Solanum lycopersicum: one gene and its partner. The protein of the gene in region 1 interacts with the protein of each later gene in a pairwise test. Links are inferred from orthologs where the notes say so. Each region holds a gene or a part of one and is shown on either strand. Other genes may lie near its edges. The genes, in order: receptor-like protein kinase FERONIA and rop guanine nucleotide exchange factor 1.

What was found.
Region 2: the proteins of receptor-like protein kinase FERONIA (region 1) and rop guanine nucleotide exchange factor 1 interact in binary tests that used the Arabidopsis thaliana proteins (3 or more experiments, as listed by UniProt). The link is inferred for Solanum lycopersicum from reciprocal best matches to the Arabidopsis thaliana genes FER and ROPGEF1.

Annotation. Positions count from the first base shown.
Region 1 is NC_090808.1:11,839,304-11,843,905, reverse strand, and holds the start of receptor-like protein kinase FERONIA, read left to right. Parts: upstream 1-1,518; 5' UTR 1,519-2,273; intron 2,274-2,672; 5' UTR 2,673-2,709; coding exon 2,710-4,602. UniProt on the Arabidopsis thaliana protein: Receptor-like protein kinase that mediates the female control of male gamete delivery during fertilization, including growth cessation of compatible pollen tubes ensuring a reproductive isolation barriers, by regulating MLO7 subcellular polarization upon pollen tube perception in the female gametophyte synergids.
Region 2 is NC_090800.1:94,187,995-94,192,332, reverse strand, and holds the start of rop guanine nucleotide exchange factor 1, read left to right. Parts: upstream 1-1,446; 5' UTR 1,447-1,965; coding exon 1,966-2,263; intron 2,264-2,485; coding exon 2,486-2,602; intron 2,603-2,706; coding exon 2,707-3,245; intron 3,246-3,754; coding exon 3,755-4,108; intron 4,109-4,338. UniProt on the Arabidopsis thaliana protein: Guanine-nucleotide exchange factor (GEF) that acts as an activator of Rop (Rho of plants) GTPases by promoting the exchange of GDP for GTP. Acts downstream of PRK2 in the control of polarized pollen tube growth by activating ARAC11/ROP1.

The DNA of each region.
Region 1 (4,602 bases):
TAATTTAACTTTAATTTGTCTGTAATACATTTTTAATTCAAGTTTAATTCATTTTGCAGTTTCTTATGCCTCTTCATTTGTTACGATTATATTACTTCTCTTCTAATAATTCATCTTTAATATGTTTGTAATACATTTTAATTAAAGTTTAATTCATTTTACAGTTTTTATGTCTCTTCATTTGTTACGATTATATTATTTGTCTAATTATCTATTAATACAAGTTTTATTCAATCTAGAATTATTGACTATTCTAAAAAAAAGGAAAAAAAGCAATAGCAAGAGAGGGAGAAAGAGCCAAAAAAAAAAGCAAGAAAGAAAGGACAAAAGAAAGAAAGAAAGAAACAAACAAACAAGAAAGAAAAAAAAGAAAGCGAGACACAGTAAAGGAGAAAGAAAGAAAGAAAAAGCGAGACAGAGAAAGATTGAAAGAGCGACACACAAAAGAAAAAAATTGAAAAAGTTGCTATAAATGATAATAATTAAAGAGTATATTTAAAATAAGTAATTATTTTTTAAAAGGAATCCATTCACGTAATTAATCCAATAAATTAGTGGTAGGCCCCAGTGAGCACATGATTGACGGCTAAATAACTTGGCTATGGGACCCGTCTCCTTTATAACTTGTTACAACTTAGTAACACTCCATGATATTCAATTTATTAAAAAAAGAAAAAGAGCAACGCGTAAATGGCAAAATCACAATACTTCTTATCACCCTTTCGTACTTTGGGACAATTTGTGAAAATGATTTATTTGTACTTCCCTCAACAAATACAATTATTCTTTTTAATAATTAAAAAAGGGACTACCAATTTTATTATGGTTATTTAAATTAAATAATGATTCATCATATTTTTTGAAATAAAAAAATTATATTTATCTTGAAAATTAATGAGTATAATATATAAATATGACATTTAACTCAGTGACGGAGCAAGGATTTTCACAAAAGGTGTCCAAGTTCTAAAGTGAATTAGTTCTTTTAAAAAGGTGAAAAAATTGCTACTGTGAAATTCAAACATACAAACACTTTAAATTTGTGTATCTTTACTCTTTCAAGGCGCCTGAAAACCACTAGATTACATCATTTTGTTGTGTCAACGTGTTCATAATATATTATTTAGCCACTTAATTTATTATATTACTTGTATATACGGTATAATATTCCAAAGAAGAGTGTACAATTGGACACCCTGACACAAGTGTTGCTACGCCGCTGATTTAATTTAATTTCAGTTGACGTATATATGTTTTTTAACTTTGAGTGTGGAAAAATAGACACATTAATCCGATGTAACGTCCTAAATCACGATTTGCATCACGTCACGAAGGACATACATATTTATTTGATCGATTTTATATAAATTTAATTATCTACTTATTCAAATGCAAAGTTGACAGACATATATATATTAGTTGAGATCAAGTCATCTGTCATTTAACTTGATCTCAACTGATATTTATGCCTCCAACTTTTGATATGTATAAAGTCTACATTTAAATTTAAAAAAAGTTAAACAAGTAGACACTTGCACTCTACTTGACTTAATACACACATAAAATATAAATTGTCATGTATGACGTGTGTGTCTACTTATACAATTCCATAAAAGTTCATGCATATACTATTATACACACAAAATTTAAAGACATATATCAAATAATTTTAAATTAAAGAACATATTTATTGATTTATACATACGAATAATAGTTGTAACTAGAATATTATGTTGTATGCTTAAAAATAATTATTTCAAAATAATATGATTGGTATTATATTCCGTTTTAATTATGGTAGAGAGAAAAGAGTGGGAATGGGAGAAGGAAATAGCTATATATAATAATAATAATAATAATAAAATAGAATTGCCACCTCCCCATTTGGTCCCTACTCCAAACGCGTTTGTGCTTAAAAGAACTCACAGTCTGTCATTGACTGTCATTGAATCAGAAATGGCAAATTGAGATTTCAACGTTCTCTAAAGGGTATTACTGTCATATGCTTGCCGTAGTTGGGACTCAGTTATTTTCTACTCCATTTTCATAATCTAGATTAGTAGAGTTTTTAAGAGATATCAAGCTAACCAGCAACTACCATCTTCCTTCAATTTCACTTCTCCATTTCTCTCTCTCTCTAAAACTCAAACCCTATTCTCTCTCTTCTTTCATCTTACTGCTGCATTCAATTTACTTCGTTTGGTGTTTGTCAACTCAGCGATGGCCTGAAGTTTGCTGCTTTTGGATCTCTCTGTCTATTCCTCATCTTTAAGGTATTTTTTTTTGGTCTTCCTTTACTTGTTTATGCTTTTGTTTAGCTCCCATGATTTTGCTGTATGCTTGTTTTAGCTAGATCTTGATACTCTGGTTTCTTTATTTTGGACTGAGTGCTTTCAGCCTTTCATCATCTAGCTCCAAAGTTCTATTTATATGCAATTTGTTGCTACTTCTGCTGGGTTTTGGACTGAGTGCCTTTCATTTAGTTGTGAAAAACTTTTATCTGTCTACTTTATGCTATCCCCTGCTTCTTATACTGCATCCTGATGCTGGGTTTTATTTAGTCTTCTGGATTTAGTTGAAAAAAGGGATTCCGGATTTTGAGATTTATATTGTCCTTGTGTAATTAAAATTGAGGGGAGGTCAACTGATCTTTCTTTTTTCTTTTGTTCCAGTGATTTCTGCGGATTACTATAGGCTTGTGCAGCATCTATGGCAGACGACAGTAAATTCTGTTTTTTCTTTGTTTCGTCATTTTTGTTGTTGGCTATTGTGATTAATGTGACATTTGCTGCCAATTATGTGCCTGGTGATGATATTCTGTTGAACTGTGGCGGTCCTGACAATCTCCCAGATGCTGATGGTCGGAAATGGGGCACAGATGTTGGGTCAAAATATATGTTGGGTAGTAAGTCATCAATCTCTGATGCTGCTGATCAAAAGCCCTCTGTCCCTCAAGTTCCTTTTATGTCTGCCCGTGTATTCCAGTCTGAGTTCACCTATAGTTTCCCTGTAGCATCTGGTCGTAAGTTTGTCCGTCTCTATTTCTATCCCTCGTCTTACAACAAGCTAAATGCTACCAATGCCATCTTCGATGTGGCCTCCGGACAATATACCTTACTTAGAAATTTCAGTGCAGCACAAACTGCTGAAGCTCTCAACTATGATTACTTGACCAAGGAATTCTCAATAAATGTGCCATCTGAAACTTTGAACATCACTTTCACACCCTCTCCAAATACCTCAAACTCCTTTGCGTTTGTCAATGGGATTGAGATTATTTCACATCCTGATATCTATAACACAGAAGATGGAAATACCTTCATTGTGGGTCAGAAATCCCCTTTCATCATTGACAATTCTACTGCCTTGGAAAATGTCTATCGCCTTAATGTGGGAGGCAATGTAATCTCACCATCAGGTGATACTGGTATGTTTAGGTCATGGGGTGACGACTCAAATTATATTTTTGGAGCAGCCACCGGAGTCACCAATACTGCCGATGATGAGAATGTCACAATAACCTATGGTAATGGGCAGCCTACCTACATTGCCCCACTTGATGTCTATAAGACAGCTAGGTCAATGGGTCCAACTTTTCAAATTAACCAGCAATTCAATTTGAGCTGGGTTTTCTCAGTTGATTCAGGGTTCTCTTATCTTGTTAGGCTCCATTTCTGTGAAATCACTAGAAATATCACAAAAGTCAACCAGAGGGTGTTTATCATCTACATGAATAATCAGACTGCGGAACCTGCAGCAGATGTCATTGCTTGGGCTGATGGCAATGGAATTCCTTTTCACAAGGATTATGTGGTCTCTGTACCTCGTGGGGCTTCACAGCAGGATCTTTGGCTTGCCCTCCATCCAAATGTTGCTTCAAAATCCAATTGGTATGATGCAATTTTGAATGGAATAGAGATTTTCAAAGTGAGTGACACCAATAATAACCTTGCTGGGCCTAATCCTGTTCCAGTTGCAGAACCAGATCATATTGACCCTCTGCCATCCAAAACAGGTGAATCAAAAAATAATAAATCAGCTATTGGTGGAGGCGTTGGAGGAGGGATTGCTGCTGTAGTTCTTATTGGTTTAGTTGCATGCCTTGTCATGCACCGCCGGAATCGTGGGAAGGTCCAAAGTCCAAGTGATGGACCATCAGGCTGGCTCCCTCTTTCTTTGTATGGAAATTCACATACGTCTGGTTCTGCTAAGACAAACACTACTGGCAGTTATGCTTCGTCCCTTCCATCAAACCTTTGTCGTCACTTTTCATTTGCTGAGATCAAGGCAGCCACCAATAACTTCGATGAAGCACTGCTTCTTGGGGTGGGTGGTTTTGGCAAAGTATACCAGGGAGAAATTGACGGTGGCACAAAAGTTGCTATCAAACGTGGGAATCCTCTCTCCGAGCAAGGTGTTCATGAATTCCAAACTGAAATTGAAATGCTCTCAAAACTTCGCCATCGCCATCTTGTTTCTTTGATTGGTTATTGTGAAGAGAACTGTGAAATGATCCTAGTATATGACTACATGGCTCATGGTACCCTTCGTGAGCATCTCTATAAGACCCAGAAGCCTCCTTTACCTTGGAAGCAGAGGCTT
Region 2 (4,338 bases), on another chromosome or scaffold:
TTAATTTTAATTTCCTAAATAACACTTGATAATTTGAATCAATTTTTCTTGACTGAACAAAGGAATGAGAAGTTGATTACAAGAACCAATCCTATTCGAAAAATGATGTCCAAATAGAGATAAAAGAAAAAGGCTGCTATTAGTGGTATATAATTTAATAATTTCGCCAATTTTATTTGAGAGTGTAGAGCATAGTTTAGTCATTAAAATTTTGTTAGATGACTTTCCATAAGCACGCCGGACAAACAAGGGTCCATCACGCCAACTGCAATCCGACCTGCCATTGTCACGTGCAATCGCAAGCCCCTAAAATGGAGTAGCACACTTCAATTCATCCTATTTTCCTCCGGGTCAAAAACTGACGTCGGAAAAATCTCCAATCTCACCGCCTCTGTCAATATCATATCTTAAGCTTAAACTGGAATGTAAAATCAAAAAATTCCCATATTTTTTCAGTAAAGCGAATAAAATCTCCCCAAAAAGAAATAACTTTCTCGTGAATGCAAGTATCTCTGCATAAGAAGGAAAACGAAGCAGACTACAAAAAGTTTCAAATTCCCGACACAGCTGTAATTATTTTCATTTAATTAAGCAAACCGAACCAGTCTAATCTTTTGGACTACCAGAGGGATGTGTGTGCGCCAATTTTAGTAAAAACACATTCATTTGATATAAGCACCGACGCTAGCAAATATATTATACTTATTTTAAAATTTATCAAATTAGAATTTTTTAGCAATTTGTTTCGGGGATTTAAATAAGTTAAATTAGCGTAGCTGTGGGACTCTCGCTAGTATTGACCTCCTGGACTAGTATCGATGGTGGCTCCATACGGGTAGACGTAGGCCCTGAAACCATAACAAAGACAAGACAATTACAGGGAGGACGTACGTGTTCTCGGGCGAGTGCAGACTCGGTTAGTATACAAGATCATCAACAGAGTAATAGGATGCATCTGCTGAAGCGAAGACTCATGTAACAACAAGCTGGACCGAAGCTCAGCCATAGTTGGTTTTGGTCGTTGAAGCTTCGCCGTAGTGACAAAGCTTTCATAGTCCGGTCAAAAACATACGTGGTATGGTATCACACTCACATGGTGCATATTATAATCTTGATAATTCACTCCAATCCTATTTTATATAAGGTAATTGTACTCGACATAGAATTTAAGAAGGAAATAAAATTTTTTAAAATTTGTGATTTTAAGTGAATGATAAGAATTTGTTTTATTTCAAATCATTTCATTAAAAATAAAGTAAATATTTTTTTATTTTAAAATTAAATTGTTACTTAATAATTCAAAATGTTATTAAAATAAATTGAGACGAAAAAATAATTAATCAAAAAATTTGATAAGGTCAAAATAAATAATATTATGTCATGAGTATTATTTATATTTTAAAACTCATTCTTATAAATTTCACACCATATGTTATTTTCAAAAACATGAGTATGATTTTTCCCCAAGTCATCAAAATATACTCGTATGATATGCGTTAAATTTTCCGTAAATCATCAAAATCCCAGTGGCAAACTGCAAAGGCAAATGCTCCCAAACGAAGAAAAGGACCAAGTCGGGTAGTAGGTATCTTTTTGTCGTCAACTCCTCAACTAACGCCGTTCTTTTTCACCCAACAGACGCCCTTCAAACTAACGCCGTCTAATCGTACGGTAAAATTTCCCACGCACCACTCTTTTGTCACAGTATTTTTTTTTTTGAGAGAGAAACAGCTACTGTAATAGTAGTACTGTGTGAACTGCGCTTTGGTTTGCTTTATCTTCTTTCTGCTTTTTCACCCTCCACCATTTCCTCTTCTTTCTCCTTCACAGCCATATCTGATAAGCTCTGTCTCTCCCATTGTCGCCATTTGTTTTACCCTTTTATTTGCAATCATTATGAAGCTCATTTGCATCTAGGATCTTCTTATTTACTACTTTTACTAAAGCATTTTCGAGTGCTTAACGATGGGGAGTGTATCATCTGAAGAAGGTTCTGATCAGCAGAGTGAGAGATGTGGAAGCTACAGTTTAAGTGCTGATGTCAGTGAGTCTGAAAGTTCTTCAAGCAGTTTCTCTTGTCGGCGCTATGATGCTGAAGGCGCATCCAGTTCTATGGCCTCTTCGCCGCTCCCTTGCCGGAGATTCACTGCCAAATCCGAGTTTCCCACACCAGTGCTACCTCCATTTATGTTCCCGGCGATTGGCGGGAAAGATGTGGTGCTCTGCAATGACAAGTCTGAGAAACGCCAGGCAGATTTATCTGGTTTGTGCATTTTTTTGGTTTTAGTTTAACTATGCGATTTCACGCCAATCCGGTAGAGATTTATGCAAGTTTTATGTTTGATATCTGTACTGAGCTTCAATATTACCTTCATTGACCGGATTTGTCATTGTGCATCTGTTGGTATTTTTGGACATTTGCTGCTTTTTTCCCCTTTAGAATGTGGGTTATCGTTTCTTGACTTTTAGGTTGTGTTTGATTTAGAAATTGATCTGATGAAGGAGAGATTTGCCAAGCTGCTTCTTGGTGAGGACATGTCTGGAGGGGGTAAAGGGGTTTCTACGGCACTTGCAATCTCAAATGCTATCACAAATCTTTCTGGTTAGTATAACTACGTCTTTCCTTTGAACTCAAAGAGTAATTTCATAAAAGATTGCACATCTGATTTTTTATTGAAATTGGGTTTTCTTGTATGATAACTATAGCTACTATATTTGGAGAACTATGGAGGTTGGAGCCACTGGCCCTACAAAAGAAGGCAATGTGGTGTAGGGAGATGGAGTGGCTGCTATGTGTTAGTGACTCTATTGTGGAGCTTGTGCCTTCCATTCAACAATTCCCTGGAGGAGGCACATATGAAGTAATGGCAACAAGACCACGTTCTGATTTATACTTGAACCTGCCTGCTCTAAAGAAACTTGATGCTATGTTGATTAGCATTCTCGATGGATTTCGTGACACAGAGTTTTGGTATGTGGATCGAGGGATAGTTTTAGCTGAAGGAGATGACTGTGACTCTTTTCCTCCTGGAATAGGGTTTGGTAGGCCCTCAGTTCGACAGGAAGAGAAATGGTGGTTGCCTTGCCCTAAAGTCCCCCCAAAAGGGTTGTCTGAAGAAGCTAGGAAGAGAGTGCAACAGTGTAGGGATTGCACTAACCAGATACTGAAGGCAGCCTTGGCAATCAACAGTAATGTGCTCGCTGAAGTGGAGACTCCAAGTGCCTATATTGAAACTTTGCCCAAGGTTTGCATCCTGTTGAGTTTACTTAAAGTAGAAGTTATAGTTATATTTAGTGAGAGTTTTTTGTCCAAAAAAACTGAGCTGCCATCTGCAGCCTATGTCAGGTTCTTTAAATAATTCTATATCTTGACTTCCTTTGTTTTCCTTGCCTTCTTCATTGCACCAATGGTTAATGTTGCTGTATCTCTTATTTAGTTCACTTGCACAAAATGAGATGAAGTATGCTACAGTTGTCTAATGTAAGTGGCTAGCTCAACATTTATGTTTTTGATAAGAAAATATGGTAAGAGAAAACAAAGTAAAGTTTCCTTATTAGATAAATAATCCGTAAACTTAAATTTCAGAGACTTTGTTCCCTTTTTCCCCGCATTCCATATTTGTTATCCTCGTATGGGTATTCTGATATCCTCCCAAGGACAATTTTAGAGTACTTGTTTGATGAAAAGAAATGCTGTTTACTTGTCAATTGCAACTGTTCATTTCTTGAATTGTTTCTTAATTTCTTATTGCAGAGTGGAAAAGCATGTCTAGGTGATATCATCTATCGTTACATCACTGCTGACAATTTCTCACCTGAATGTCTTCTTGATTGCCTGGACTTGTCATCAGAGCACCATACGCTGGAAGTTGCAAATAGAATTGAGGCTGCTGTGCATGTTTGGAGACTGAAGGACCAGAAGAAACATCCACATAAAAGAAAATCTAAAGGCAAGTCATGGGGAGGGAAGGTCAAGGGCCTTGTTGCAGATGGTGGTAAGAATCAATATCTGGCAGAACGAGCAGAAACTCTCTTGCATAGTCTCAGGCTTCGCTTCCCTGGTCTTCCTCAAACTGCACTTGACATGAACAAAATACAGTATAACAAGGTAGGTGATACAAACTCACATGAAGACTAAATAGCAGAGTGAAGCAGATAGGGGGCATAGTGATATTTGTTTTGATAAGGGAGGAGTTATTATGAGATATTTCTTGCTTAATAATGATAAATTCTATGCAATAGAACGTGTAGGCAGTGGAAATTCTAGTCACAAGTGGTCTCAAGGTGTGAACTGTGAAGATGCCTTTATTATACTGTTAAGGAATTTCATTCTTGATT